4 linked regions of the Rhinolophus ferrumequinum genome follow. The protein of the gene in region 1 interacts with the protein of each later gene in a pairwise test. Links are inferred from orthologs where the notes say so. Each region holds a gene or a part of one and is shown on either strand. Other genes may lie near its edges.

The links.
Region 2: the proteins of TRIM63 (region 1) and PKM interact in a two-hybrid assay, tested with the Homo sapiens proteins (3 studies listed by BioGRID and IntAct). The link is inferred for Rhinolophus ferrumequinum from reciprocal best matches to the Homo sapiens genes TRIM63 and PKM.
Region 3: the proteins of TRIM63 (region 1) and cytochrome b-c1 complex subunit 1, mitochondrial interact in a two-hybrid assay, tested with the Homo sapiens proteins (2 studies listed by BioGRID and IntAct). The link is inferred for Rhinolophus ferrumequinum from reciprocal best matches to the Homo sapiens genes TRIM63 and UQCRC1.
Region 4: the proteins of TRIM63 (region 1) and MYOT interact in a two-hybrid assay, tested with the Homo sapiens proteins (2 studies listed by BioGRID). The link is inferred for Rhinolophus ferrumequinum from reciprocal best matches to the Homo sapiens genes TRIM63 and MYOT.

Annotation. Positions count from the first base shown.
Region 1 is NC_046292.1:17,858,624-17,865,518, reverse strand, and holds the start of TRIM63 (E3 ubiquitin-protein ligase TRIM63), read left to right. Parts: upstream 1-3,893; 5' UTR 3,894-4,035; coding exon 4,036-4,194; intron 4,195-5,097; coding exon 5,098-5,270; intron 5,271-6,895. UniProt on the Homo sapiens protein: E3 ubiquitin ligase. Mediates the ubiquitination and subsequent proteasomal degradation of CKM, GMEB1 and HIBADH.
Region 2 is NC_046289.1:97,339,747-97,346,921, forward strand, and holds the start of PKM (pyruvate kinase PKM), read right to left. Parts: upstream 3,024-7,175; 5' UTR 2,801-3,023; intron 1-2,800. UniProt on the Homo sapiens protein: Catalyzes the final rate-limiting step of glycolysis by mediating the transfer of a phosphoryl group from phosphoenolpyruvate (PEP) to ADP, generating ATP.
Region 3 is NC_046300.1:7,507,629-7,514,486, forward strand, and holds the start of cytochrome b-c1 complex subunit 1, mitochondrial, read left to right. Parts: upstream 1-3,837; 5' UTR 3,838-3,921; coding exon 3,922-3,990; intron 3,991-4,213; coding exon 4,214-4,384; intron 4,385-6,858. UniProt on the Homo sapiens protein: Component of the ubiquinol-cytochrome c oxidoreductase, a multisubunit transmembrane complex that is part of the mitochondrial electron transport chain which drives oxidative phosphorylation.
Region 4 is NC_046307.1:13,099,733-13,106,636, forward strand, and holds the start of MYOT (myotilin), read left to right. Parts: upstream 1-3,891; 5' UTR 3,892-4,062; intron 4,063-6,640; 5' UTR 6,641-6,848; coding exon 6,849-6,904. UniProt on the Homo sapiens protein: Component of a complex of multiple actin cross-linking proteins. Involved in the control of myofibril assembly and stability at the Z lines in muscle cells.

The sequences.
Region 1 (6,895 bases):
GATGCCCAGCATGGTCCATGTGGGAATTTCCCTGCCCCACCCCTTGACTTTCAGCAGTGCAGGCCTTGCCAATTCCCAGGCTGGAGTTGGTCCCACTGTCCATTTGCTTCACTTTGGCACCTGGACTGCCAAGTGTGGCTGGAGAGTCAACAGACCCATGTGAATGGCTCCTCACAAATGGCAAATCTATGTTGGGAAAGCATCAGCAAGGCTCTTCTGCTCCCAGACAAGTCCTTCCACCCCTTTCTAGGGTACTTCCTCCTGTGTTTCACAATGGCTGGTCCAAACTTTTCCCACCACCCATTCATGCTACCCTTCCCCCGCCTCAGCCTTAGAAGTTGACCTTGACTCTCTTGACCGAGGTCATCTATATGAGCACTTTTCTCTGAACCTCCCAACACCTCTGATTCTTACCTCCACCTTTTCCTCTCTCCTCTCCTCCCATCTCAAAAGTTGGAGTGTCCCTCTCCTTTCCAAGGCTTTAGAATTTACTCCAGCACCCCTCCGACCCCAATCTTCCAGTACTTTCTCTCCACTGACTGCACTCTCAGCTAAAAACTTAGTCAAGTACCTTGATCTCCCCCAAGCCTGACGGTGACACTGCTGTTCCCTTGTTTAATTCACTTATTCACTTGTCCACTCATTTAAGAAACATTTGTTGGGTGCCTACCATGTACCAGGCACTGGAGGTACAGAGATGAATAGAGATCATCTTTGCCCTTAAAGCCTTCAAAGTTCAAAGGGACAGTCAGACTCGCGGGTGAGAGAATGACAATTGAGACGTAAAGATGGATCTGTGCTCACTGCTGAGATTTACTGGTGTGCAGTGGGAGGAACGGGGAGCCCAAGAATGGCTCTCACTTTCTGGTCTGCGCAAATGGGTGGATGGTAGTGCTGTTCCCTGAGGCATGAAACAAGGAAAAGGGAAGGAGGAGCTTGGTGTGGGGAAGATGGTGTGTTCTGTTTGGGGTATGACACGCCTGAGGTGCTGTTGGAATATCCCAGTGGACATCTCCGACAAATCTTCAGTTTAAGGGAGAGAGTGGCCTGATCTGGAACTGGACATTTGAGGAGCGTTAGCCTGAGGGAGTTGGACTCATGCATGTATATAGAGTGCTCTCTGCTGCAAGCAACAGGATAATTACACCATGAGGACATTTGTTATGTCACATATTAGTGAAGAGGTGGGCATTTCCAGGGGTGGGTAACCTGGCAGCACAATGATGGCATCAAGGCCCCCAGTGCTTTCTTCAGTTCCTCTTTGTTTGCCCTTCTCAGGGAGCAGATTTCTTCCTAGACTTGTCCTCTCTTGATTGCAAGATAAAATGACGCATACAACCCCATTCAAAGGCAAGAATGAACGTTTCTTCTTGTACTTGACTTTTTGTTAGGGAGGAAGTCTTTTATCTTTAGGCAAAGGAGAATAGGATTATCATGACAGATATAAGGTTTTGTCTCTGGTGGCAGTGGAGAGGCCCACCTTCCAGGAGAAATGCTGCTTGAACAAAACCGTCATGTGAGCAAGGAAGAGGGATGGCCTCTTCGATTTTCATCCTCTTGCAGCCCCTGGCGGGCCTGGCACTGTTGACCTATACAGTTCGGTAGACACACGAGGAGCTTGGGCTCCTGAATCAAGCATATCTGGGATCCTGTCCTACAGCCACTTTTTGCAAACAGTGTGACCTCATGCAAGTTATTTATCTCTCTGTGCCTGAGTCTCCTCATCTGTGGAATGAGGATTGCGTTACAGTGATTTATAATAAGAAATATATATTTGGTCTTCGCCCATTTCTGGCTCAAGGCTCCCTAAACACTTGTTATTTCCTAAGTGGTGAGAGTGATGAAGGTGTCTTTTGTTATGTGATTGAGGTGACTGGAAGCACCCAAGGATGGGGACTGGCTGCCAGGAAAACCAACCACGTGATTAGAGGGTTAGAAATTTCAGCCCCATCTTCCCCTGATTCTGGGAAGGGAAGAGGGGCTGGAGGTTGAATCAATCACCAAGGGCCGATGATTTAATCAATCGTACCTATGTCATGAAGTCTCCATAAAAACTCAAGAGGACATGGTTTGGAGAGCTTCTAAGATGGTGACCACGTGGTCCTCGGAGAATGGTGCCCCTGGAGAGGGCAGGGAAGCTCCGTGCCCCTTCCCATGTCCGTTGTCCTACGCATCTCTCCCATCTGGCTGCTCCTGAATTATATCCTTTTATAATAAATCCTTGATCTATTACGTAAAATATTTCTCTGAGTTCTGTGAGCCATTTTAGCAAATTAATAGAACCCAAGGGGAGGGGGCTATGGGAACCTCCCATCAATATCCAGTCAGCCAGAAACACAGGTAAGAAGAGCCTGGGCTTTTGGCTGGTGTCTGAAGTGGAGGGCGGTCTTCTGGGACTGAGCCCTTTACCTGTGGAATCTGATGCTATCACCTGGGTAGATAGCATGAGAATTGAATGGAATTTTTGGACACCCTGCTGGTATCTGAGAATTGTTTGTTGGTATTGGGGGAATCCTCTGTCTCTCATATTGGAATTGGGTCTAAGGAACCCTTTTCAGGGATATGGTTCTTACGTTGTTGAGATGATGAAATGAAATGATGCATACAAAGTACTTAGCACAGTGTCTGGCACATAGTAAGTGCTCAGCGAACACTAACCATTAATATTTGGGGCAACCACCCTTTCCTTGAAATTCCCCAGCCCCGTGTGTTCTAGGCCCCCTTCTCTTTCTCTGACTGGTCCCCCTCTTCTTTTCCCTCTTATTGCCTCCCCCAAGGTTGGCTTCTTACCCTCACTACTCACTAGGTCTAGTCTCAGGGCTCTGACCATCAACTTCTTTCCACACTGAGGCCATCAAACCTGCTCTCCTGCCATCCCTCTTCCATGAAGTCCTGGACACTCCTATATGTTCCATACCCTCGTAGGTACATCCTGAGGCCTGATGTTACTGCTCCTACTCTCACCCCCCGCACCTTAGCCTGGTGGCCCTCTGTCCCTTTACATGAGATTCTACCTTAAAAGCAGTCATTGGAACTGCTGTAATGACTTCTACCTGTCAGCCCGGAAGATGTCCAGAGGGACATGGAGAAAAATTTAAATTGGTGCAGAGAGCAGAAGGGAGCATCTGATTAACTTCTAAGTGACTTGGTAGAACTTAGTTATTTCTGTCTGTCTTTCTCCCGAGGCTGTGAGCATCTCAGGGCAGAGAAAAGGATTACTCATCTATCTGTCACCTTGGTTCCCAATGTATAGTTAGTACTCAGAAAAATATCTCATGAATGAATAAGATTCCTGGCTTTGCCACTTACTTTTTTTGACTTTGACTAAGGTCCTTATTTGACCCCAATTCAAAATCTATAAAGTGAGGGGATTGGACTATGTTTTAAGGGAGCCCTTTCAGCATTACAGTGGCATTAATGGCCAAGGGATGGGGGTCAGTCTAGCCAGGGTGGGGATCTCAAAGTCTCCAGAAACATGCTGTGCTCAGGTCTGAGGCAGAGGGATGGGCTCAGAGAGAGGGGCTGCCCGGGATTCCAGAGCAGGGATGGACCTAGTGGTCACTGAGGGGGCACTGGCTATTAACCCCACAAATCCCAGTGGCCCATTCTCTGGGTCCCATCCCTAGCCTGGTGTGGGAGGAGACTGATTTCTGGAGGAAACTCTGGGTACCCAGTCCTCCCCCAAGTGTGCCCACGAACAGGCTGTTCTTGTTTACGACCCCCGTCCCAGGGGAACAGCGATTGCTCATACGTACATGTGATTTGAGAGGCCAGTCTTGCAGGCCTGGAGGAAACTCAAGCCCCGCCAGCCGCACTGGCACTGGAATGCTCAGCTGGTCCCCTCCTGGGGCTCATGTGACCAGGGTCCAGCTATAAATATCGGAGGGGCCTCAGACCAAGACAGAATTCAGGCGCCGACAGAAGAAGGCCAAGAGGCTCCAGGCAAGTGTTTTGTGACAAAGGCAAGACCGCAGGTCTACTCAGACAGAAGCAGGTAAAGGAGGCAGCCAGGTGGGCCCCACACCTCCTGACAGTATGGATTATAAATCAAGCCTGATCCAGGATGGGAACCCCCTGGAAAACCTGGAGAAGCAGTTAATCTGTCCCATCTGCCTGGAGATGTTTACCAAGCCGGTGGTCATCTTGCCGTGTCAGCATAACCTCTGCCGGAAGTGTGCCAGTGACATCTTCCAGGTCAGTTCTGGGCATGGCCTCGTCCTGGGGGCCCAGGTGGCTCCTCAGCTTTCCTGTGATGAAAGCTCATCTCTCTTAGCCCAGGATTCTTCTAAGCCAGGCCGGTTCTTTCCCCTGCAAAGTCAACCCCTGCAAAGGCCACTGGACAGGGCTGAGGGCGGCTGGGGAGGCAGCTCTGGCTGCCCTTCCTTTTCCATGACGCATATTTCCCCTCCCCACCCTGCCTGCAGCTCTGCCACCGGCCATCTCTGCCCTGAGCACCGCAGTTGACTCTTCAATCAGGAATCAAATGCCTCAAGTGATAAGTGAGGGAGGCAGGCAGAGAGGAGAGAGAAACCAGACCCCTGGGGCTGGAGCCAGCTCTCTGGTGGCAGGTGGCCCAGAGCTGCAGGAGGAGGGTGGCCGGGAGGCCCTGGGCAGTGGAGCATCTTCCCTTTCAGGCTTTTGCCTCTAATATAGGGGAGGAGGGGCTTCATCTCCCTAAGAAAGGACTGAGAGTGGATGTCCTGGCTGGAAGGCAGTACTCAAGATTCCCCAGGAGCACTTTACAAAGTGTTCTGTCACTATTTTATCTTTAAAGTAGCAGCCCTAGGAGCTGGCTCTAATTACAATGCCCATTTGATGAATAGGTAAACTGAGGTTTGGAAAGAAGGTTGCTTGCCCCGAGTTACTCGGAGAATAACTGTGACTCAAACCCAGGCCTGCTGACTCCCAAACCTGTTGATTGCTTCATTGCTTCTCAGGTGCTCCCTGTGTAAGCGATCTGCCTCTCCTCTCAGGATAGGGGCTCCAGGTCATGTGGTTTGAAAAAAATGGTTGGAATAAGCAGGGGGCAGGATAATCGGAGATTAGAAAGGGCTGAGGAGGGAGCCCAGGCCTCATCTCTGCCTTTGCCACCCACAGGCTGCAAATCCCTACTGGACCAACCGGGGTAGCTCGGTGTCCATGTCTGGAGGCCGTTTCCGCTGCCCCTCCTGCCGCCATGAGGTGATCATGGATCGTCATGGAGTGTACGGGCTGCAGAGGAATCTGCTGGTGGAGAACATAATTGACATCTACAAGCAGGAGTGCTCAAGGTCAGTTTCTCCGGCTGCTGCGAGCCCGTCCTTCCTCCCCAGCCATTCTGTGCCCAGCTTCCCAGGCTTCTTCCTCCTTCCTCTGTTTGGGATCCTGTCCCCTTAGTTGGACGAGTGACCCTAGCCAGTCTCCCTCTTTCTCAGGCAGGAACAGAGAGGCTCACTCTATCCCCCCACCCTGATTCTCCATGTGACTCAGTGAATGAGAAGGGGCCCAGGCTGCCCTCCTGAAAAATACTGAGATAGGAACCAGGGAACAAAGATGAGATATGAGAGGGAGAGAGAGACGCTGGGGCCAGCTAAGTGGCCCTGATAAACAGAGAACGCGCCGTGAGAACATAGCCAGTTTCTCTATCGTGAATCCACAGCTATGGTCCCATGTGCCAGGAGGCACAGTGCCAGGCACAGGGAACCTGCTGCTTCACAACAATGCTATGGATCAGGCATGACTTTCATCATCCCCATTTCACAGATGAGGAAGCTGAGACTCAGAGAGGTGAAGTCAATCACCCAAGTTTTCCCAGCTGGGAAGGGGAAGAGCTGGGAGTAGGCCCTGTTGATCGAGCTCCAGGTCTCCATGATTGTAGAGTAGCAGCTCCGTCTCAGGCAGTTTGTGAGTGGTAGAGCTTGTGTAGTGTTGGGCCTCCAATTGGAGAGAGACACAGCTACTAGGGAGATCTTTACAAATCAGGACATCCTGACAAGACTTCCAGGCTGCTGACCTCACAGATCTTATGGTCCCAAACCATCACCGAGTGCCTGCCTGCAGGCAGTGTCCTGCCCAAGGAAAGGTGACAGACCAGTCCTAGTGAGAAAAAGCCCTGGCCTGGGGAACTGTGTTTGCTAGTCTGACTCTATTACTAACGTGCTGTAGGATCCTGGGTCAGTCTCTGGGCCTTCATTTCCCATCTGCAGAGGGGACAGTAAGATTTATTATTGTGACTCTATCAAATAGGATTTTGATGGGAAGTGTTAAAAATATCAAATATGTATTGAGTACCTACTGTGTATAGTTACTGCACTAAGTATTTCCTATGCATTATCCCTTACAGTAATCCTATAAGACATTCTTACACAAGGAAATGGAGGCTCAGAGAGGGTGACGGGTTTGTCCAAGGCCACTCAGCTTTCAAGTGGTAAAACTGAAAAACAAAACAAAACAAAGTGGTAAAACTGAGAGGGAGCCTTTCTGACTCCATGATGAACACTACCAACTGCTGTTATGTCTCGTGTTGCCAGGGCTCAACACTCCAAAAATGTAAATGTATTGTTGATCATAATAAAATCAATATGGCACCAATATATTAGCCCACTTAGTGTCGACCTATAAAGACCATGTTGTGTTTGAACCCTTCAAAGTCCTCCTGCATAGCCGGATGACAATGATAGCCGCCATGTTGAGGGTCTGCCCTGTGCCAGACAGGACACATTCCTTACAGACAACCCCTGCCATGATCCCAAGGGCCCTGGGAGGGATCCAAGGCTCAGAGAAGGGAAAGCACTTGTCCAAGGTCACACAATGAATAAATGCAGAACAATCTGGATTCGAACCCAGATGCTAAACCCTGGGCTTAGGAGGTGCCCGCTATATTAGAGGCTGGGAAATCAGAGGTAGTGTAGACATG
Region 2 (7,175 bases), on another chromosome or scaffold:
ACCAGGGGCACATTTCTTAAAGATGCAATAACGCTCTTGGTTCAACTATGAATTCAACACTAAAATTATTTACTTCTAACACAGTGCTTACAATGAGAGTAGCTGTACTGGACAGGAAGAAATTAACACCCATATATTTTGCCTCAAGTCCAGTCACTCAGAAATGAGTTCAAAGACATTCTTTCATACCTTATTCAAGTCCACTACAGCCCTTATCCCATGAGGCTGCCATGCCCACTGCAGAAGGCGCAGACTGCATTACCAGGGTATAGGGCTGTGCCACACTGCACCTCAGCTCGTAGGGCAGCAGAGAGCCTGGGGACCTGGAACAACCATTTTTCACTTAGTTGAGACATTTTTAACTGCAGGAAATACATGCTTTGTTATTTGACTCACTGAAAGGGGAGAGGGGACTTTTTACACCTGCAAAGATTACATGTTTCCCGCTCACCTGATGAAGAGGATTCTCTCAAAAGCTGATACGTTGAGAGGTTCAGTCATCCTCCCCACAGACCTGGTGATGGGTTACCAGCCCCTCAGAACAGCGCCACTGCATTCCCAGCACCATCCTCAAACAACCAGAGGGCAAATTATTTGCTAACAATGCTGTTCCCCTAGGGAGTGGCCTCACCCTCAGTACAGCCAATAGAGGGTTAGTGCCCCCTGCCTTCAGTCCTAACTTCACACTTACCAGCTGGCTGAGCGAATCCTAGAACCCAGCTGGCGGGTAGGGAAGATTTCAGTCTTGGGGTTGTAAGTCTGTTTCCGCTTATAGCCAAACACCAAAGACTGAAATGCCCTCCCCTTCCTTTGTCTAGAGGTCCCCATTCTCAGGAGACCTGTTTGAAGTGCAGTTACAAAGTCACATTATTAGCTACTTTGTGAACACTGTACCAGGATCCCTGAGGGAATTGGTTTCCAGGAGATGTCTGGTATTTAGAGCCTGCCTCCAAAAAGGAACTGTGAGTGTGTGTTTGGGGATGGCATCAAGATTAACCCTTATGCTCAGTTACCTGTTAATTGTGCTCAGTGACTAAAAGAACACATTTAGAGGCATTTCTGCTGGACTTCTCGCCAGAGATGAGACACTACAACACACATACACCTAGATGCGTGCATAGAGACAAATCCTTTCAACAAGCATGAGGAAAATGTTACTCAGTTTACACATGGCAAACAGGCCCCGGGGCTGAAGGCCCTCCATCACTCCTGTCAGTATGAGTCAAACCTGATTCTAAACGCCTGTTGACACCTCCCAATGCCTCTATCCACCATACACCGACGTCACCTATCAGGTCACTTGCATAGCAGGGGATCGATGGCCTGGGTTTGAATGAAGCACACGGATAAGAAGCCAAGGGTGCCTTTAAATAACCTTCAGACCGCAGGTGCTTTCCTGCTTCTTCAAACCCTGTGTGATGCCACCCTGTGAGGCCTCCTGTCACCAAGCCCTCCCCAAGCAGGAAGGGCGTACCTGCCTCACCACACTAACCAGTGATAACTTCTACCGGTATGTTCGTCCTCTAACGAGGCTGTGAGCTCTGTGGGCAATGGCCAGTATAGTTATCCGGGTCTCCATCCCCCTCCCCGCAAACAGCTTCTGAACAGTTTTTATTGAGTGAAGGTGGTACGTGGCACCAACCACCAGACCTATTTGTCCGCTACCCACACCTACTCCCACCCACCCCGTGACCTCCGCGTTCTACAATCTGGGCGCATCTGTGAAGCAACGTGAAGCAGAGGCGAGGAGGCCTCCGCGCCGTACGGACGGCTGGCTGGCCAGGCCCGAGGTGAGGCTGGGCGGTAACGGGTCCGCAGGCCAGTCGTCCGGCGGGGCGGAGCGGGGCCGGTCCCGGGCGCCGGCTACTACGTGCAGCTCCGCCGCGGCGGGATGGAGCCCCGCCACGCTCCCGGAGCGAGCGCAGCGCCTGGGTCACCGCATCGAATCTGGAGCACCCAGGTGCAACCCTTTCTTTCCCTGCAGCCGGAAAGGCCCAGGGTTACGTAACCCGGGCCACCGCTGCATCCCGGGCCGCACCCGACCCAGCTCTGCCGGCCCGCAGACCACTGCCCTTCGTCGGTGACCCCGGACACGGGTTCCAGGAGTCGGAGACTGGAGCCGTGATGGAGACGGGGGACACGAGTTGGGGGGCGGGGTAGCAGTGGGACGAGACCAGATGGGCGGGGGAGGGGGCGTGAACGTGACTAGACCCGAGTGGGAGGGGCGAGGGCCGCACCGCGCAGAGAAGGATGCCGAGGAGCGGACGTGACCGGAGTGGGGGGGAGGGGCGGAACAAGCGCATGAATGGGGTAGCTGGCGGCACGAGGTGGGCACCGGGAACCTGAATGCGGGAGGAACGCGGAGGTTACAAGGAAAGCATCAGAATAAAGAGGCACGGGCAGGTGGAAGACGAAGGGCGAATGGATCAGTATTAAGGGGCAAGGGGAGGAGGCGAGCAAGAGAGCAAGGGGGAGGGAGGAGAGGAAAGGAGGTTCGGAGGGCATGTGGGAAGGGAGGCGAGGATCGCACCAGAATTGGGGTAGGGATCGAGGCAGGAGAGGATCTGGCTGAGTCATCTGACTTTGGAAGAAACAGGAGCTGGGGGCCTTGAAGAGCAGGCCCTAGGCGCGAGCAGCTTCTTTCTCCTCTCTCCCGACCCCAACCGGGTACAAGATGCCCAGGATCCCGCGCCGCCCCGGAATGGGTGCCCTGTGTGCGCAGACCGGCCAGATTCCGCACTAGCCGGGCGATGGAGCCCAGGTGGGGACGGATGGCTCAGCCTGTCTCCCTCCAGCTCACCTCCGGTGTGGTCTCGCTCGGGCTGCGGGTACACTGCAGAGAGGTCAGGAGGCTCTGCGCGCGTCGCTTCTGCGTGCAGCCGACTGCCTCAGCCTCAAGGTTATTCCGACTACAAGGCCGCCGCAATCCCTCCGCCGCCCCGCCCCCCACCCAATCCTGGCTCCCCGCTCGCCCGGCCCGCCCCCTGCGTCCCCGAGGGGAGCAGTCCCTTCTGTAGGAAGTGCGGCGGCGCCGGAACAGACAGTTAGGTTGCCCTTTGGGAAGGACTACATTCCGTGGCGGAAGGATACGGTACATAAAAATCGATCCTCGCACTCTGTGAGGAGCCAATGGGGAAGCGAGGAGGCGGCAAGACCCGCCCTCGGAACCTCGGAGTCCTTTCCTCCCAGACCCCCGGGCGCCTCGGCCACCTGTTGCCGCCAACTTAGAACGCTGGAGGAGGGCTGTACTCCTGACCCTCGGCCCAGGCCACCCCAGCTGCCCTGGCCTATTCGGGCGGTTCCCAGATTTATGGGTCCAGGGGTAGCATTCCCCCAGCGCCGCCCCGCGACGTCCCACCCCTACGGGTGCCCACCCCAGCGCACACCTCGGGGACTGGGCCGAACAGGAGGTTGGGGAGCTCGGAGATTTCATGGGATGGTTGGAGGTCGGGCCGGGAGTGGGGGTAGGGAGAACTAGGGAGGGCGGGAGGTGCTTGGAGCGGGAGCGGGAGGCCTTTGTTCTTAGGGCTGGAACAAGGAAGGACAAGTTGGGGCCATGGGAATACTTTAGTAGGGGCTGGAATCCTGCAGAGCACGAGCCTGGAAATAGAAAGCGAGTAGAAAGTATTACTATTAATGCAGAACTGATCGTCAAGAAATACTCAGAAGGTGAGGGCCCATTATCTTTGCAGGAGTCAGCGCTTGTTTTCAACCTTGTGTATTTAAATCAGTATTGTTTTTCTCCAAGGCATTTTCCAATTTCTCGGTAATTAGCCACAACCACTGAAAACAGTAATCAGTGAAACAGCTGTTAACCCTTGCCTTCATTCAGCCAAGTTTTGAGAGCAGATACAATGTTACTTCATTAAAAATCCTGAAGGCTGTTCTTTTTAGGTTCTGTCCGTTTCCTGGAAAATGGGACCAATGGGTGTGACCTGCTCAGGCACACACCCTGCCGGCAGCTGAATCACAGGTCTTCATTATGATTTCCTCTAGCCCAGATAAGCTGGGAGGAGAAAGTGACAGCCTACAAGTAAATTTCTGTTTGAGATAAAATATTTCATTTCTTCTGTGAGCCTTTTCTGGTCTCTTTAGTCGTAGATAGGAAGTAAATGCTTGTTCATGGAGGTAGGGAGAGCACACGAAGTTGTGGAGAGGAAAACGGGCCATACCCCACCAGGGATAATGACATTCCTACCCAGAGAAAAAGGAATAGCATGATCGGCCCTTACAGGGCCCCTCAGCTAAGAATGAGCTAAGTACAGGGGAGGACAACACGGGGAGGGGGATGGGCAGGCCAGTGCTGTACTACCTTGTGTTTTAAAGTTCTAAATCGAGATACATTCCCAAAATTGAAATGCACAGCTATTAAACTGATGAGTTGGTGGCAAACTATTGCCCTTCAGTGACAGAGGTCGGTCAGCTGTTATAAAATGCTGTCCATGAAACGGGCAGAGACAAATCCAGCATATCCTGCTCACGTTAGATGCATAGTGCACATTTGTCACATTGCGCTTAAAGTGTTGTCTTTTTGCGGAAAGCAGCATAGTATAGAAGAAAGCTTAGGTAGGTTCCATCATATCTGAGTTCCAATTCCACTCATCAGTCCCTGTGATTGTATACTATACTGTGTGAGTCCAGTTCCTTGTAAATAAATGGAAGACAATTCCTGTTTCCCAGGGTCGGGTTTGATCAGATGCTGGGTGTGAATGAGCACAGCACTGCCCAAGAGGCATCCTTTCCTTGGGAATTGACTAGTCCTGGACGCTTGTCCTTGTAACTAGGGTGAGAACGCCTTTCTGAATTCTAGTAACTCATTTGCCTTTCTGTTGGCCATCCTCCTTAATCTTCACTCCCTTGACCCAGCAACAAGTAACCCCAGGAGTGCAGGAAACAGGAAAGCTGAGGGAGGACACAGATTCTCCTCGCAGCCAGGCTCCTCCTCCAGAGCCTTCCATGCTCACTGACGTGGCCAGATTGGCGTGGTAGCTGCGAGGCTCACTGGACTGGGCTGTGAGTGAGGATATATACTGCTGTGCTCTCTGGGTTCTGGGCCACAGAACCACAGAATCTGGAGTTTAATGGCTTCACTTGCGAAGGTCATTTGGAGTCCTTGGTGGGGTAGGTGTGTCAGCAAACAACAGTGAACCCAATCTTGCAGCCCAGAGATGAGTTTTGGCCCTGGTTACAGACGTGACGGTCCGTGCGTGACCTCTTGGCCTCTGCCAGAAACAGCAGTGTTATTTCTCAGGACAATCCAGATTTCCAGGGCAGCCCATAGGCCCTCAGTGGCAGGTTTAGAGCAGAAGTGTTTATCACTTTGGAGTTTATATGCCCTTTCCAGAGCCAGACCAAGTAGATCTTTAAATTTATTCTGTGCCTGCCTTCAGACTCCCAACATCTCTTCAATCCCACCAGGGTGGCACAAGAGTTCCTCCCCGCCCCCCTCCGAAAAAGTCTAGAAGGAAGAGGAAGTTGGTTTCTTTGGCGTTGAGGATACAGAGAGAACAGGCTATCTGTGTGGGAAAGGGAGGGTTTCATGGAGGAGACATGGAGGGTTGGTTAGGATAGAGATGGGTATGGGAAGGCCATTCCAGGGAAAGGGAACAGTGAAGAATGTTTTCTGAATGCAACTGTGTATCTAGGTCCCCCCTCCTGAAGAAATGCCCCACCAGCACTTGGAAGAGGGAAGAAGCTTGAGGACTCCTTATTCATTCCAGAGGAAGTACAACCTCAGCCAGGGTCTCTATCAGCTGATGGGACCTCCAGCAATCTTTCTCTAGCTCAGGACTGCTAGGGCTCCCAAGAAAAGCCTCCCTAGCGTGGGTTAATCCTGCCCGCCAAACCCTCCCTTTGAGGCCCTATGCTTTCTCCCTTTTCCCTACAAGTGTAGCCAGAGTTCAGGCTCCTTAAGATGCAAATGTAAGCAGATCTTATCCCTCAAAAGTCATCAAGATTTGGAAGACCACCAAGAAAGGCATCGGTGAGTAATGGGTCAAGTGCCCCCTTCGCCGGAAGTCCTCTTGCTGCATGCAGTTCACCAGTCTGCTTTTTCCTTGGCAACATGCTTCCAGTCTCCCCCTCTGTGCTCACTGGCTACCAGCTAATCTGACCCACTTATTCCGGAAAGGATGGCTAGGACTGAGGACACTCTGGTCTCTGTCCTAGATAATGTTGGTGGGCAATGCTTTAACTTAAAGGGTGGCATGTTTGGCCCCATTGCAGGGGGGTTCTGAAATACTTACGGAAAGTCCTGTCCTCCAGAGAGAATGATGCCCCTTCGAATGAATTGAAGCCTACTTTATTCCCATCCTTTCTGGGGGAGGAGGACTCTGGGGAATTGTGACTCATGAATTCCTTGCCACCACTCCCAAATTGGGCCCAGAAGCTGAGACAACTTCCAAACCTCCATCTTAGAATCCATCCTGTAAGTAAGCTGGTAAGTAACCCAATAATGACTCAGCACCAGACTCTTTTCTCTCTCTCCCCACTGGCCAGTCTGAAAGGCAGAATCAAGCAGAAGGCTCTTCCCCTATGGATGGCCACATCCTCCCCACAAATGAGTCAAGGCCACACCCTGCATGGATGGAAAATTACCATCAGAGAGAAGCAGAAAGTTAAACTCTCTGGGGTTTTTGTGTTCTCAATCCAGAAATCACAGCCATCTACTCTCCACCTGGAACAAATTGTGAGGTAAATAGTTCTTTTCCTGGCCCTGACCGTAGCCCTAAGGAAGCATGTCCAGGTCTAAATGCCGTAAGGCTGCTTGAGCCTGGGACTATATGAAAAGAGGCCACTGGCAACCTCTGCGTGCAGGATGTGTAATAGCTTTGGCCTCTGAAGGAGGATGATCTCTTGCTCAGACCTGGCTTTCACAGGCCCCACCTCCCCACCTCCAAGGTAGCCAGCCAGGCCTGGGTGAGGGAAAGGGGCTCCCAAATCCCTCTGCAGGCTGTGGGAGAATTCCTCTCCAGAAGCCCTGCAAGTTTCTCTGCAATGGAGGCATTCTTGTCATAGGGTGTTCTTTTTTTTTTTTAAATAGGGTTTTAATTAGATTTGTTTTACAACCATATATGGGTATATTTTGAATTTTTTCAGATGTGATTGTGTATGGCTCTCAAACATCTCAGATTCAAAGTCCTGTTGCTTTTATATGGGACACTACAAAATGGGGT
Region 3 (6,858 bases), on another chromosome or scaffold:
GCCCCCAGTGTGGTGGCAGAAAACTTGACCATCAGGTCAGACTTCCAGGGAGTGCTGCCCAGTAGTGATAACCTGGCTGAGTCAGATTAGGCTTCAGGGCCTGCGCTGCGGTGGGGGCTGGAGGGTAAGCCCGGGCTGCCTTCACCCTTATGGTGTCTCTAACGTGCTCTGGTGCCCGAGTGGTCCTTCCTTCAAGGTCTCCAGAAGTGGCATGCAGGCTGAACTTCCCCAAAGGGTCCTCACCCTCTTCCCTTCTGCCATAGGCAGTCCAGGTTGAGTGGATACTGAGGCCTATGCATTTCTAGAGTCTCTGTTTTATAAAAACCATAGAACATTATGAATTCAAAAATAGAAACAAGTGAATTAAAATAATGAGAAATGAGAAGTTACCAATGTTATAAAGTTGACATACTACAATGCCAACTCCAGAACAATAACATTTGTGGTGACTTCTTGATACATTTCTGTAATACTTTTTCCCCCACATTCTGACTGCTCACTCTGATGGCCTCTATGTAGGGTAAGGATTTTGTAATTAAATATTTTCCATACAGAAAACAGAAAAGATAATTCGGTCTTCTTTCTAACATGGTTGATTGTGATTTGTGTTTTAGTTATTAATAGTTTAGAAAATTTGTTTCTCTATTTCTCTCAATTTGTTATTGATGGTGTCACATAAATGGCCTGGATTGTTTTCAATTTTGAGAAATCATCACCAACTTTCTTTCATATACATGCTGACTGATTTGGAAGAATTTTCCACAGATGGGCTTCTGAATCCATACATTTCAAACCTTGTTTTCCCTCTCTGGCCCCCAGTTTTTCCGGCACTGGACACTGTGGGGCAGGTTCTAAATGCAGTAGGATCTTGCACTTCTGTCCTGATCAGGAGTGCTGACGCAGCAGGAGGTCCCTGGAAGCCATTCCTACACCAGGACAAAAACAATGAGTTAACCATGCACAGGAGTAGAGCAAACCACAGAAATATTTCCCTCTGAACACAGACCAAGTGCGTCCCTGTACAACATGAGAAATGTGCTGCCATGTCCCCCTTCAAGGAAAGCCTGCTTCTCCCAGCGCCTGATGAGGCAGCCAGAGGATAGGTCCGCCTGAGCTGCGGAGAGCCCCATCCCAACTGGTTTTCTCCCTCCCTCAGATGCCAATCTTTTTGTTGTTTTTAAGATTTTGGGGGGGAAGGGGAACAGGACTTTATTGGGGAACAGTGTGTACTTCCAAGACTTTTTTCAAGTTGAGTTGTCCTTTCAATCTTAGTGGTGGAGGGCGCAGCTCAGCTCCAGGTCCAGTTGCCATTGTTAGTTGCAGCGGGCAGAGCCCACCATCCCTTGAGGGAGTCGAGGAGTCCAACTGCGAGAAACCTTGTGGTTGAGAGCCCACTGGCCCATGTGGGAATCGAACTGGCAGCCTTCGGCATTAGGAGCACGGAGCTCCAACCACCTGAGCCACCGGGCCGGCCCATCTTAAAGGGCTCCCTGGTAAACACCCGGATCTCCCTCTTGGAGTCTGCTCCCCAGAGAACCCAGTCTGGGACAATCTCCAACTCACCTTCCGCTTGGCTGGAACCCAAAAATGTCACAGCCTCTCCAATGTCCCCACATATAGGGAAGTGGGATAGAGGAGAATCCGAGTGGGAAAAGGACACAAGTCCTAACTGGATGCAGTTAGGTTATCTTAATTTTGCAAGTTTTCCAAAAATACTTGATCCTATGGACATTACTGGGGCCCCTCCCAAAGCCAGGAAGTAAAGGGCGTTCAAGGTTGAACTTCATCAGCCTCGTATTAGGCCCACTTCCATACAAGGTTTAATGAGCACCTACTGTTTGCTAGCCCTATTGTGGATGCTAGGATCTTCTGGTGTGCAGAACACTACTGGCTCCTCCCTCACCCACTCACAAATAGGGGAGTGTGGTCGTGATGGTGGTGAAACAGACTCAAGAAGGCAATTACTCTGCAGAGAGGTATGCTGGCCCAGTCAGGGTGGGGCAGGTGTGGGCTGATTGCTGGGACCTGAAGGATGAATGGGGTGACGAGAGGAAAGGGAGAGTGTTCCAGTCAGAAGGACTAGGGCCTGGTGGGGGAAGAGACCTTGACCTGTTCTAGGAACTATACAGTGGTAGGGATTTCAGGGGAAAGAAGAAGCTCTGGAAAGCAGGAGGGAGCAGGCTGGGGAGGGGCAGGAGTTGATGCCTCCTAGGGAAGGTGTGGAATCTGTGGGTATGTTACAGTACATGGCAAAAAGAACTTTGCAGGTGGAATTAAGGTTAAAGAATTTAAAATAGGGAGATTATTCTGGATTATTTTGGTAGGCCTAAAATAATCACATGAGCCCTTCAAAGCAGAAAAGGAGCACAGATTCAAAGTACTTGATCCTCTGCTGCTAACTTTGAAGATGGTGGAAAGAGCCAAGGAATTCAGGTGGCCTCTAGAAGCCGGTGATATGACCTCAGGTAGCAGCCAGGAAGAAAACAGGAAACCCAGTCCTACAAACCACGGGGATCTAAATTCTGCCAACAACTTGAATGACCAAGGACATCTTCTCCCTTAGAGCCTCCAGAAAGGAACACAGCCCTGTTGATGCCTTGATTTTAGCCCAATGAGATCCACATTGGACTTCAGGCCTACAGAACTGTGAGATAATACATGTGTTGTTCTAAGCCATTAAGTGTGTGGTAATTTGTTATGGCAGCAATAGAAAACATATAGATGTTGGTATCAAGAGTGAGGTACTGCTGCAACAAATTTTTTAAATGTGGAAATAGCTCTGGAATTGGGCAGTGAGCAAAGGCTGGAAGAATATCAAGGAGCATAACAGAAAAAGCCCAAATTGCCTTTGTGTGGGTTCAGAATGAGCCACCCAAGATATGCCTCAGTGGTACGTGGATTATTTTGAGCTAAAGTCAACTGAGGCCCTGTGGACTCAAGAGAAACTTTTACTCCTCCCCAACCATCTAGAGGAATTTGAATGAGGAGCCTTGCCCATAATAAGAGATTATCAGAGATAACCTTTGTTGACCTATCTATATGGCAGGGCAAACTACTAATCACAGCTATGTCTCACCCTGCAATGACAATCTGAAGCTTCAAGGCGCATTACTCACCCCTAGCTCAGAATGCCTTATGCATCCATTTTCCCTTTCTATCTCTGAACCTCTCATGTAGGTAAGGTTCCTTCCTGTGCACACAAAATTGAGCTTGATTTTCTCTTGTCAATCTGTCTCTTGTTGATTTTTCCACCAGCCCAAAGAATCAGAATAGGGAAAGGGGAATTTCTCCCCTCTCCCACACCTTCAACCCTTAGCAGAAACCTGAACTTGAAGAATGCTGCCAGTGAGGGCTCAGAAGGAAACGGGGAATGTGTTTTTGCAAACTATGAGAAAAGACCCAGGTCTTGTTGCTTGTGTGTTTTGTTTTCCAAACAAGGAATCCTTTTCAAAATTTAGTCTCAACTGCTCCTTTTTTCTTAGCAATATATTGTTCAACTCCTTCTAAGTCAACCGTTTGAATTTACTTCATTCTTTTAAAGAGAAAACCGTGACTTGCAGCAATCTTCCTCTTAGCCCCCGGATGAGCCCCCCGCCCGCCAGGCCGCTCTGGGTACGCAGTGGAACCGAGGCACCCGCGGATCGTGAGAAATATCGCGCACTCCGCCTCCCACTGGTGAAAAGGGAAGATGGACTGGACCTCAGACAGACCCGCGCGGGCCAACAGGGAGCTAGGTGGACTGATGCGCGCAGGTACCAGTGGATGCGCGGACAAAACCAGACACTAGCCAGGGGTGAATATCCTCGGCTTCCACCAGGGGGCGGCCGAGCGCCAAGGCTGCGGTACTGCGCTTGCGCCTCGGGCGCCGCCGCGTCCACTTTACGCATGCGTGGCGCGACCCAGGGCCGACTGGACTAGAAGATGGCGGCTTCCGCGGTTTGCCGGGCGGCCAATGCAGGGACGCGAGTGCTCCTGCGCACCCGCCGCTCGGTGAGGTGGCAGCAAGGGCGCGGGGCTATGGGATGTGGGGCTTCGGGACGCGGACAGGGAATGGGATGTTAGGGGCAGCGAGTCGAGATTGGGGAGGTCGCGGGGTCAGAGCCGTGGGAAGGTCACGGCCTAGGGCGGGGAGGGGAGTCTCTCGGCGGGCCTGGGGGCGGGGATGGGGATCCCCCTGCGGGCCTGGTTGCTGAGGGGCGATCCCCCAACCCAGTCCTCAGTCCCAGCCACCTCGTTCCAGCACCCGGCCCTGCTGAAGTCGCCTGCCTTGCGGGGCACCGCCACCTTCGCCCAGGCCCTTCAGAGCGTGCCAGAGACGCAGGTCAGCCAGCTGGACAACGGGCTGCGAGTGGCCTCCGAGCAGTCCTCCCATGCTACCTGCACGGTGAGTGGGGTCCCGCTGTCGAGAGGGGTCCTCCATATTGGAGCTGGAGTTTTCCCAGGTCTGGGGGTGACCTTGGGCTTGAGCTCTCTGTGGTTTGGGTCAGACTCCTGCTCATTCACGGCTGGATTGACCCTCCTACTCCAATCTCAACTCCAGCCCCACCTTGATTCCCGGGGTAGGGGTGGCAGTCCTCACTGTAGTCAACACTCATTTAGCATATGATGCTTGCCAAGCAGGAGGCCAAGTTTTTTTCCAGCGTTTTCTTAAGCAACCGATACAAGAGGAGCAATTCTGTCTCCATTTTACAGTAAGAAAAAGGGGCTTCAGAGACATCACGTGACTGCCAGCCTCACAGCTCAAAGTCCTAATCTCGCTAGACCAGTCATGCCTTGCGGAGGAGATATATTTGTTTTGTTTTGTATGTTCATTTATTTTGTTCTTTAGATTCCACATATAAGTAAGATCATATAGTGTTTGTCTGACTTACTTCACTTACCGTGATACCCTCTAGGTCTATCCCTGTTGTCTCAAATGGCAAGGTTGCATTCTTTTCCTAGCAGAGTAATATTCCATTGCATGTATGTACCACTTCATCTTTATTCAGTTGTATGTCGATGGGCACTTGGGTTGCTTCCATATCTTGGCTATTGTAAATAGTGCTGCAGTGAACATAGGGGTGCATGTACCAGGTGTGATCAAAAACTACGCGGAATGCTCCTGCCAAGTGCCATCCAGCAGAAAGGGATCTTTAATATGGGCAGTGGTGTGTCGAATCTTAGTAACAGTGTGTGACAAGTTTCATCTTATTCGGTGCAGCCAGTCAGGTGTGAGCTATGGCTGAGAGGTGTGTTTTAAAGTGTGCTGTAAATCATGGATCACAAACAACGCATTAACGAGAAATTTTGTTTCAAACTGCAAAAAAGTGGTAAAGAAACACACAAAATGTTAAAATAGTTTACGGTGATACTGCCTTGACCATGAAGATGGTTTACAAGTGGTTCAGGCGATTTCGTTAATGGTTGTGAATCAGTTGAAGACGAGAGATTGGGACATCCTTCAACATCAAAAACCCAAGAGAACGTTGAAAGAGTAAGCACAATGATTCGATCAAGCAGACAATTGACTATTAGAAATTTCTGAGGATCTGAACATCTCTTATAGTTCCATTCAAAGTATTTGAACAACAGATTTGAACGTGAAGCAAGTGAGTACGAAATTTGTTTCATGCGTTTAAACTGTTGAACAAAAAGCAGTAGCGTTGGTCAGTTTCGTTAGAGTTGTGTGATTGTGCTGCTTCAGGTTCCAGCTTTGTTTTTTTTAATCAGTGATTGAAATTTTTACTTTTTTTTTTTAAACTTTTATTTATTTTAAGTGTGTTTTTCTAGGACCCATCAGCTCCAAGTCAAGTAGTCGTTTCAGTCTAGCTGTGGAGGGTGCAGCTCACAATGTCCCATGTTGGGATCGAACCAGCAACCTTATTGTTAAGAGCACCTCACTCTTAACCAACTTAGTCAACTGGCTCCCACCCCCCGGCTTTTTAAGGCATCATCGCAGGAGATGAAACTTGGGTCTATGGTTATGATCCTGAGACCAAGGTTCAGAGTTCTCAGTAGAAATCACCCAGTTCTCCTCGTGTGAAAAAAATGCGTCAATCAAGACCTAACATCAAGATGGTGTTAATTGTGTTTATTGATCTTGATGGAATTTTGCAAGCTGAGTTTGTACCAAGGAAAGCTGGTAAATTCTAAATAAGCCCTTATTAGAGCATTTAAGAAATGATGTGAGTAGCAAATAGAAATGGGCAAATGGTTTCATCCTCCATCATGGCAGAGCTCTGTGTGGTCACACATTGCTTCTGGTATATGGCAATTTCTGTCAAATAAAAGCGTTAGGGTTTGTCCTCATCCACCTTATTCCCCAGATCTGGCACCATGCAACTTCTGGCTCTTCCCCAAAGTCAAAATGACCATGAAAGGTAAACGTTTTGAATCGATTCAGGACATCGAGGCAGCCACGATAGTGCAACTAAAGACACTCATGAAGGAGGACTTCCAGAACTGCTTCAGAAAGTGGCAAGAATGATGGGATAAGTGTGTTTGAAGCGAGGAAGAGTATTTTGAGAGGAATTAATGGCAATGTGTTTTTTACTATAATATTTTTAATTTAAACATTCACCCTCTTTTTTAATCACACCTCATATTTTTTTGAATCAGTGTTTTTTATTTCCTTGGATAAATATCCAGAAGTGGAATTGCTGGATCATTTGGTCAGTCTATTTTTAATGTTTTGAGGAACCTCCACTCTATTTCCCATAATGGCTGCAGCAATTTGCAGTCCCACAGTGCACGAGGGTTCCCTTTTCTCCACATCCTCACCAACACTTGTTTGTTGATTATTGATGATAGCCACCCTGACAGGTGTGAGGAGATACCTCATTGCGGGTTTAATTTGCATTTCCTTGATGATTAGGGACG
Region 4 (6,904 bases), on another chromosome or scaffold:
TCTCAATATAAATATGCAAAACATTTTGTGATAAAGGTTTCTTCATGATCAGTCTTAGAATTATCCTTGCATTCAGAGGATAAATGTATAAATGGAAAGGTAATTCAGTAAGTAAATCTGCCAACCAGGCTATGTTTAAAACAACACAACCCACCACCAGCCTCATGCCCTAAACACAAATCTCAAACCAAAATATTGATTTAAAAAATAATCTAAAAGTCATATAAAAATTGTTTTAACAATATTTAATAACATAGTCCACTCAATATTTTACCAGCCTAAAGTTACCTTTAGGTTAAATTTAGGTTATACACATTTAACGTAACTTAATAAATCAGCATTCTTGACTAGCTACCTAGAACTAAATGTAACCTCTGTTAATTACAAAATAAAGATATTGGAATCTCTGTTAAGAAGAGATTTCTTGAGTAACATTTGGGTTTATTAAGTGAGAGAAATATATCATGTTAGATTTAGACGGAATCAGAGGTCATCTACGTGAAGTTCCTCATTCTACAAATGACTAAAACATAGGTGATTGGCTCATATTGTTGAGGGCTAGTTCCTCATGCTTCCTTGACCTTGGGATAGAGAATTCTCCAAGTATTTCTTGCAATGAAGACAGTGAGGGCAAGAGTTTGGACCTGAAGATCAACAGACCTGGAACAATGTATGTGACATACATAGTAGTCATAGAAATCAATAGATAGTAGTTATTACTTCACCGCATTTTTTTTTTTAAGCAGGACCAGTTTATCTCTAATAACAGTGATTTCTCACTTGGTCTCCTGGAACCCCTTTAGCTTCTGGGATCTCTAATTGCCTTAGCAGTAGCTACCCTATAAACAAAGTTTCCTCATGGGGTCAAGGAAAAACGAAGAGTGTGGAACAATAGATAAGACTGCAACTTATTCAACATTTATTAAGCACAATCTATGTGTTTGTCAGTTTCTCTACTGGACTTGCCTTGGGAAGATGGCCAATACTGATTATCTAAAACTTTTCTCCATGAGTACCTGTGTTTAGCAGTAAGCCTTTAAGACTTAAAAAGACTTTGCATCTATAATATCTTTCATAGGAGATTACCACCTTTTTCATTAATAAAACTTTCTATGGGGAAAATTACTGAGTAAAAGTTCCATAAAAGCTAACAAGATTTTATGGAATGTCTACCATGAGCTACATTGCACTAGGCAAGATAAATAATAAACAGTCCCTTCCTTAGGAAAAAAGTTAACCTAATTGAGGAGACATATTATGCCACATAATAGTCCATTATGATTTCCTGTTTCATTTGAGTCTCTCAGCAACCCTCTGATTTAGGTTAGTACAACAGATGCTATCTTTGTTTTTCAGTTAATTATTAAAGCTCAGAGAGTTTAAGCAACCTGTCTAAGATTACACAGTAAGTATGTAGAGTGGGCACTAAGACTCAAGTCTCCAAAATAAAAAGATCAATGTGTCTAGAAAGTTGTGAAACTTAACCAAATTAATGTTATCATTTTTACCATTCGACTCCAAACTCAGTGAAGACCCATTATTATTTCTTGCTTGAGAAGACTATGAGTCAAGTGCTAGAATGGATATTTCAAATTACAAGTGCTACAGTGGGATTCCCTTTCACTATATGTCTATGCAGAACTTCAGCAATCACAGTGAATTATGCATAACCTGAAAATAAAATGTTCTTCACTCTTTAGTCCTTTCATCATCAATGGGACATTTCCCTTCTCAGTTGATATAGCAGAAATTACCTTCATCACATTCATCACACACATCTGACTTTAGAAGAAGCTCACAGCACCCTTTTCACAATAGCATATATACTTCACATTTTGAAAAACAAGGGCTATAAATGAAGAGGGAAAGAATGAGTGACAGTTAAACAGCTACCCTTCCACTGATGATGGGACAAAAAGGAATTCCCTTAAAATGCAACAGGAAATGTTTCGGTGAGATAGTAGGAAATTACCTACATTTTCTAAGGCATTAGAATGACTTGCCAGAGGCTCTTACTGATAATTTAGAGAAAGAACTAGGAAAAAGTTGTCTTTGGAGGCAGGTTAGAACATGGTTCACCCATTTGACATCTCAATGATTCTTTCAGGTTTAGCATGATTTTTCTCAAATAAGCCATTCACGTTTGTGAGAAAACAACATTCAAAAAAGCAAACCAAACATTAAAAAGTAGAAAAACAGACTCATAATGGATTACTAAGTATAGCCCCTACATTTAATGGTCTGCAAAATGCAGTCATCAAAGAGGACCTTCCTTACCTTTCCCAAATCACCACCTGCCACCCCATTGCAATGAGAACCTCAGCCTAGATATACCATGGAACTACTACACTGTAACCAATGTTATATCTTACAAAGGCCTAGGGAAAAGAAGAGGCAAAGCTTAAAGGATTAAAGAGTAAAATTTAACAGTTTATCCTGGGCGTCTTCCCTACTTGGCTGGTAGGAAATATCTCAAACTTTTAGGCACTAAGAAACCTGAATCTAGTGTCTCCTCCCCTTGCCCCAATCAAAACCTGTTCTCAGAAAGAACCAAATATCCATCACATACACCACATGTGAAGTGCCCAGAATAGTGCCTGATTCATAGTGAGTGCTTTAAGTGGTTACTCTCATTTTTATTGTCATTTGCATTTACATTTTAAGTCCTTCTAATTTGGATTAAAAGACTTTTTCCCTGTTGATGGAATCTGATCAGCAGCAGATGTGGAGAAATATTTTGGGAAATTCCTGAAATAAGACTTTCTAGGCAAACACCTACACGTCAAGTCTAGTGTGCTTTTTCTACTAAGTAATGGCTGCATGCCCAGGCATCAATTACCAAACTTTCTCTAAACACCAAAGGAAGATACACCTACATAGTCAGCTGTGAAGAATTTTATGTGGCTCATATGTGCTCAAACATCTATTTATTGGGCCCTAATGTACACAGGAACTAAATCAAGACTGGAGTACTCATGAGGGAAGGAAATAAACACATACGCTTTAAACAATAGAACCACACCGAAACTGAAGCCACTGAAAGGGGATAATTCCACTCAATTGGCCTGATCCTCATGCCACCTAGTCTTCTCCACCATCTCTTTCGTTGACTTAAAATTTTCTTCCTCTGTAAGTATTTACTTCCCTGCACAAAAAATGGAAACCTAAACATCACGATGGTCTCCTCGGTAAAATGACAAAGGAAAATGTGTAACTGTTAGAAGAAAGGGAGATAAAGGAGAGTTGACAGCACAGAATCCTAGTGGTACAGATTGCTTATTTGTTTGGTAGTTTAAGTGTTTCGGAAACTTTTAGAATAAAATTACAAGGTCAAGGCAGCATAATACCATATAGATTCAGAAAACTTGCCAAAGATATTAAATTGTATTTTTCCACACCCTGTGACACACCACTGTCAATCACCCAGCTCTCCTGCCTTTAGCCAGACCACACCCCCTTTCTTGAAACAATCTGCTTGATCCCTGCTCCACCCCCACTCATGTTTAGCAAGAGGGGGAAAAAGCCTTCAGATGAACAACTATCCAATACAAAATCAATTTGGACCCCATCCACCACTGGTCTAATTCCTGGAGGAGTCTTATGAGATACACCACCAGTCGTAGAATATATGAAGGGATTCATAGTCCTTCTTTCTTCAACAGGGAAGTCAAAGCCCCCACCACGATAAAAGAAACTGAGTTTTCTTTATACTTTTTCCCATTTCCCAATTCACTGCTCTTCCCCCAAGAGCTTGTTAAAGCTCATAGCTAAAATTCACATCTAAAATAAAAAGGCCTGCAAGAGAAGCTCATGTAATCCCACTCCTTAAATATCACTAAGACATCTGAGATATTGTTTAGATTGTGGACTCTTACTTTGACATGCCAGCATAGGTAGATAGACAGGCGAGCACATCAGATGTCACTGTTTGGCAGCCGGTAAAAGTCAGTGGTGCTATAATATTAAGCACAGAGCCACTAGATTAGTCTGTGAGGGAAGGGGATGCCTCTTCCTTCCCTTCGACCGTGAGTTAAACCCAGCTGGCACCCTCTGGAACTACCGGTAAGTCCCTTCTTTATTCCTGCTAGTTTTTTTGTTTTGTTTTTTGTCCAAATCAGCGGAGTGTGTACAGAAGTGATCTTCAGATAGAGTTTGAAAGCCACAACATCATAATGGTATTACACAAAGATTGGAAGAGAAACTGATCTATTCATCCCATTGAAACTGGAAGGCATTATAGAAAAGGTAGAAGAACAGATAGTTATGTTATTATTTTTTAAGCCATCGTTTTTCCTTGAAAGGGGACACTTGGTCTGTCTGTAATTGTGGTGATATCCTACAGCTTCAAAATATCCTCAGTTTTGTGTGCAAGTCTGTGCTATAGTAGAGATAGGGGGAAAATGTTAAGATTTTTTAAATAGGAGACTGAATAGTATTTTATTTATGAAATCTTTACATTTATTTAACATTATTTAGAAGGAAATGATACTGTAATGTAATAGAATCTAATCTAGAACTGAATTGTTGAACAGTAATTATAACCATGAAGAAAAGACTTTCAGAGTTACCTGTGTGAATATCTGTATAAAATTTGGTAAGACAAGAACAAAATAAAATTTTTCAAAGAATATATTTTTAATTGAACTTCAAAAAATAACAGTAAATTTTAACTATGTAGGCCAATACCAAAATGAACAAGACAGTTGACATTCTAGAAATATCTGTGAAGAAAAATAGGGGACTTTGGGGAAAATATCTGCTAGCTATTTGTTAAACAGTTTATTCCTTGCTATTTGAAATGAATCTGAATCATTTGCCTGCCCAAAAAGGAATTTAGGAACCAAACTAGATTCAATTCTTAATGGAATGAAATTAACTATAGAACTACTTGCCTTGAAATAGAGTCTTTTTTTAAGAACTATTTAAAGCCTCTTTCTGGATGTTTTTCCCCAACAATTTAAAGGCCTAATTTAGTTAATTACTAAAATTCACTCTAGTTGAATGTACTTGTGATCGTAAACTTGAAATTAAGTATTATATGACTTTTTCAGTGTTCTTTTCAATAGAATCTTTCTCTTGGCTATTTAGTTGCATTTTTGTTCTTTCCTAAAGCTGCTAGTTTTCATTTAAACTACATGCACAACCATAGAATGAAGTTGTCTAGAAATTTTTCATTAAAAATGATACTTTCTTCAAGATAGGAAATAAAATAATTATAAGATTTTGTTTCAATAATGACAAACACTGGCTAATTTTATTAACTAAAAGTTTGATTTATCATTACCTCAGTGTTGGTTCTCAGTATCTCTATGTGAAACAAACTAAATGTATTTTGGACTAAATTACCTGATATTTTGAATAAAGACAGAATCAATACTACAACAATTTATAGGGCTAGCCTTTGTGTATAATGTCTGCATACAGTCCTGCTTAGATTTACTCCACTAATGGGAGAAATAGAGGGATATATAATTGCTTAAGGTGATTTTAGTGACATATGATTCATCTAAAGAAAACTGGGGATCTACTGTAGGAAGTCAGGTAAACCAATGCAGAGAAAAGTAAGAGAATGGCACCCATCTTTTCTTGGTAACATCTAGGCTGGCTTCATAGTTGTTGCCTTACTTCCTTCTGTACATCCTGTTTGCTGCTCCAAAAGGAAAAATAAGAGAGAGGCTAAAATAATTTCAAAATTAGTCTAAAATACATATTAAACAGGTAAAAATAATAAAAAGTAAAATTAAATAATTAAGAGAACATCAAGACCAATAGCTAGATAGCATAATCTAAAAAATAACAGAAAAAATTTACAAATGGCTCTGGAATGCAGTCAGTAACATATATTATATACACACAGAGAGACACAAACCCACAGTCACTCTTGAATCACAGTCTAGTTTAGTACTATGGTCAAATTTGGAATCAAGGGAAGAAAAACAAGCAGCAAATTGTAAGGTGAAAAAAATCCACTCAAAGTTGACAACAGAGAATTATAGATGTTCACTCTGTGAAATTGTGTAAGGGTGAAGGAATAAATATGGATATTAAAATACTGTTCTTTACAAAAGCCGCATATTGCTCCCCTTGATTTACCACGACATCATTCATCACAGATCACTAGGACATGAGTTAATTGGTATATCACAAGAGCTGTTCATTGCTTTCGATGAGCAATGAGAAGGGTTCAAACTGAATGGAAGCTGACATGTTATATATTTAACTGCTAATATGTAATTTTAAATCATTGAATCTCTGTGCTTAATGAAACGGCAGCCTCTGGGAAAAAGCTGATCATGAGACCATAAAATTATCACACTGAGCAACATCACAGTGTATCTTTTCATAAATAACCACTTGACAAACTTTGCGCTCCTGCATCTGGAAGCCCCTGGGCATGCTTTAAGAATTACCCAGAGCAAACACCAATGAATCCTTTTTTCTTATTCTCAAGGGAAAAGTCATTCATTCAAAATAAAAGATGAAGGAAGGGGAAGTATAGAAGCCAGGAAAGTTCCACCTTGAGATGACCTTGAAAGCATATAAGCTCAAAAAAAAAAGCGCATTAAGTTCGGAAGGATGTTAAATAAACAGTACTGTTTTTATACAAATACTGTAACTGATTCATTTTCTCCTTTTGAAGGAACGATATTCTTCAAGAGAAAGCCACTCCATCAAAGCCAGGAGCACAGCATTCCCAGGATTTCCACAAGGGGCACACCAAGGCTGCTTCTGACTCCTTGCGACTTTCTGTAATTCCAGGCTTGCAGCCCCAAATTCAGGATCCCACCCCTCCAGGAGCAAATCACTGTAGTAATAAATTGCCTTCATCTTCCATATACCAGCTAAGCATGTTTAACTACGAACGGCCAAAACACTTCATCCAGTCCCAAAATCCATATGGCTC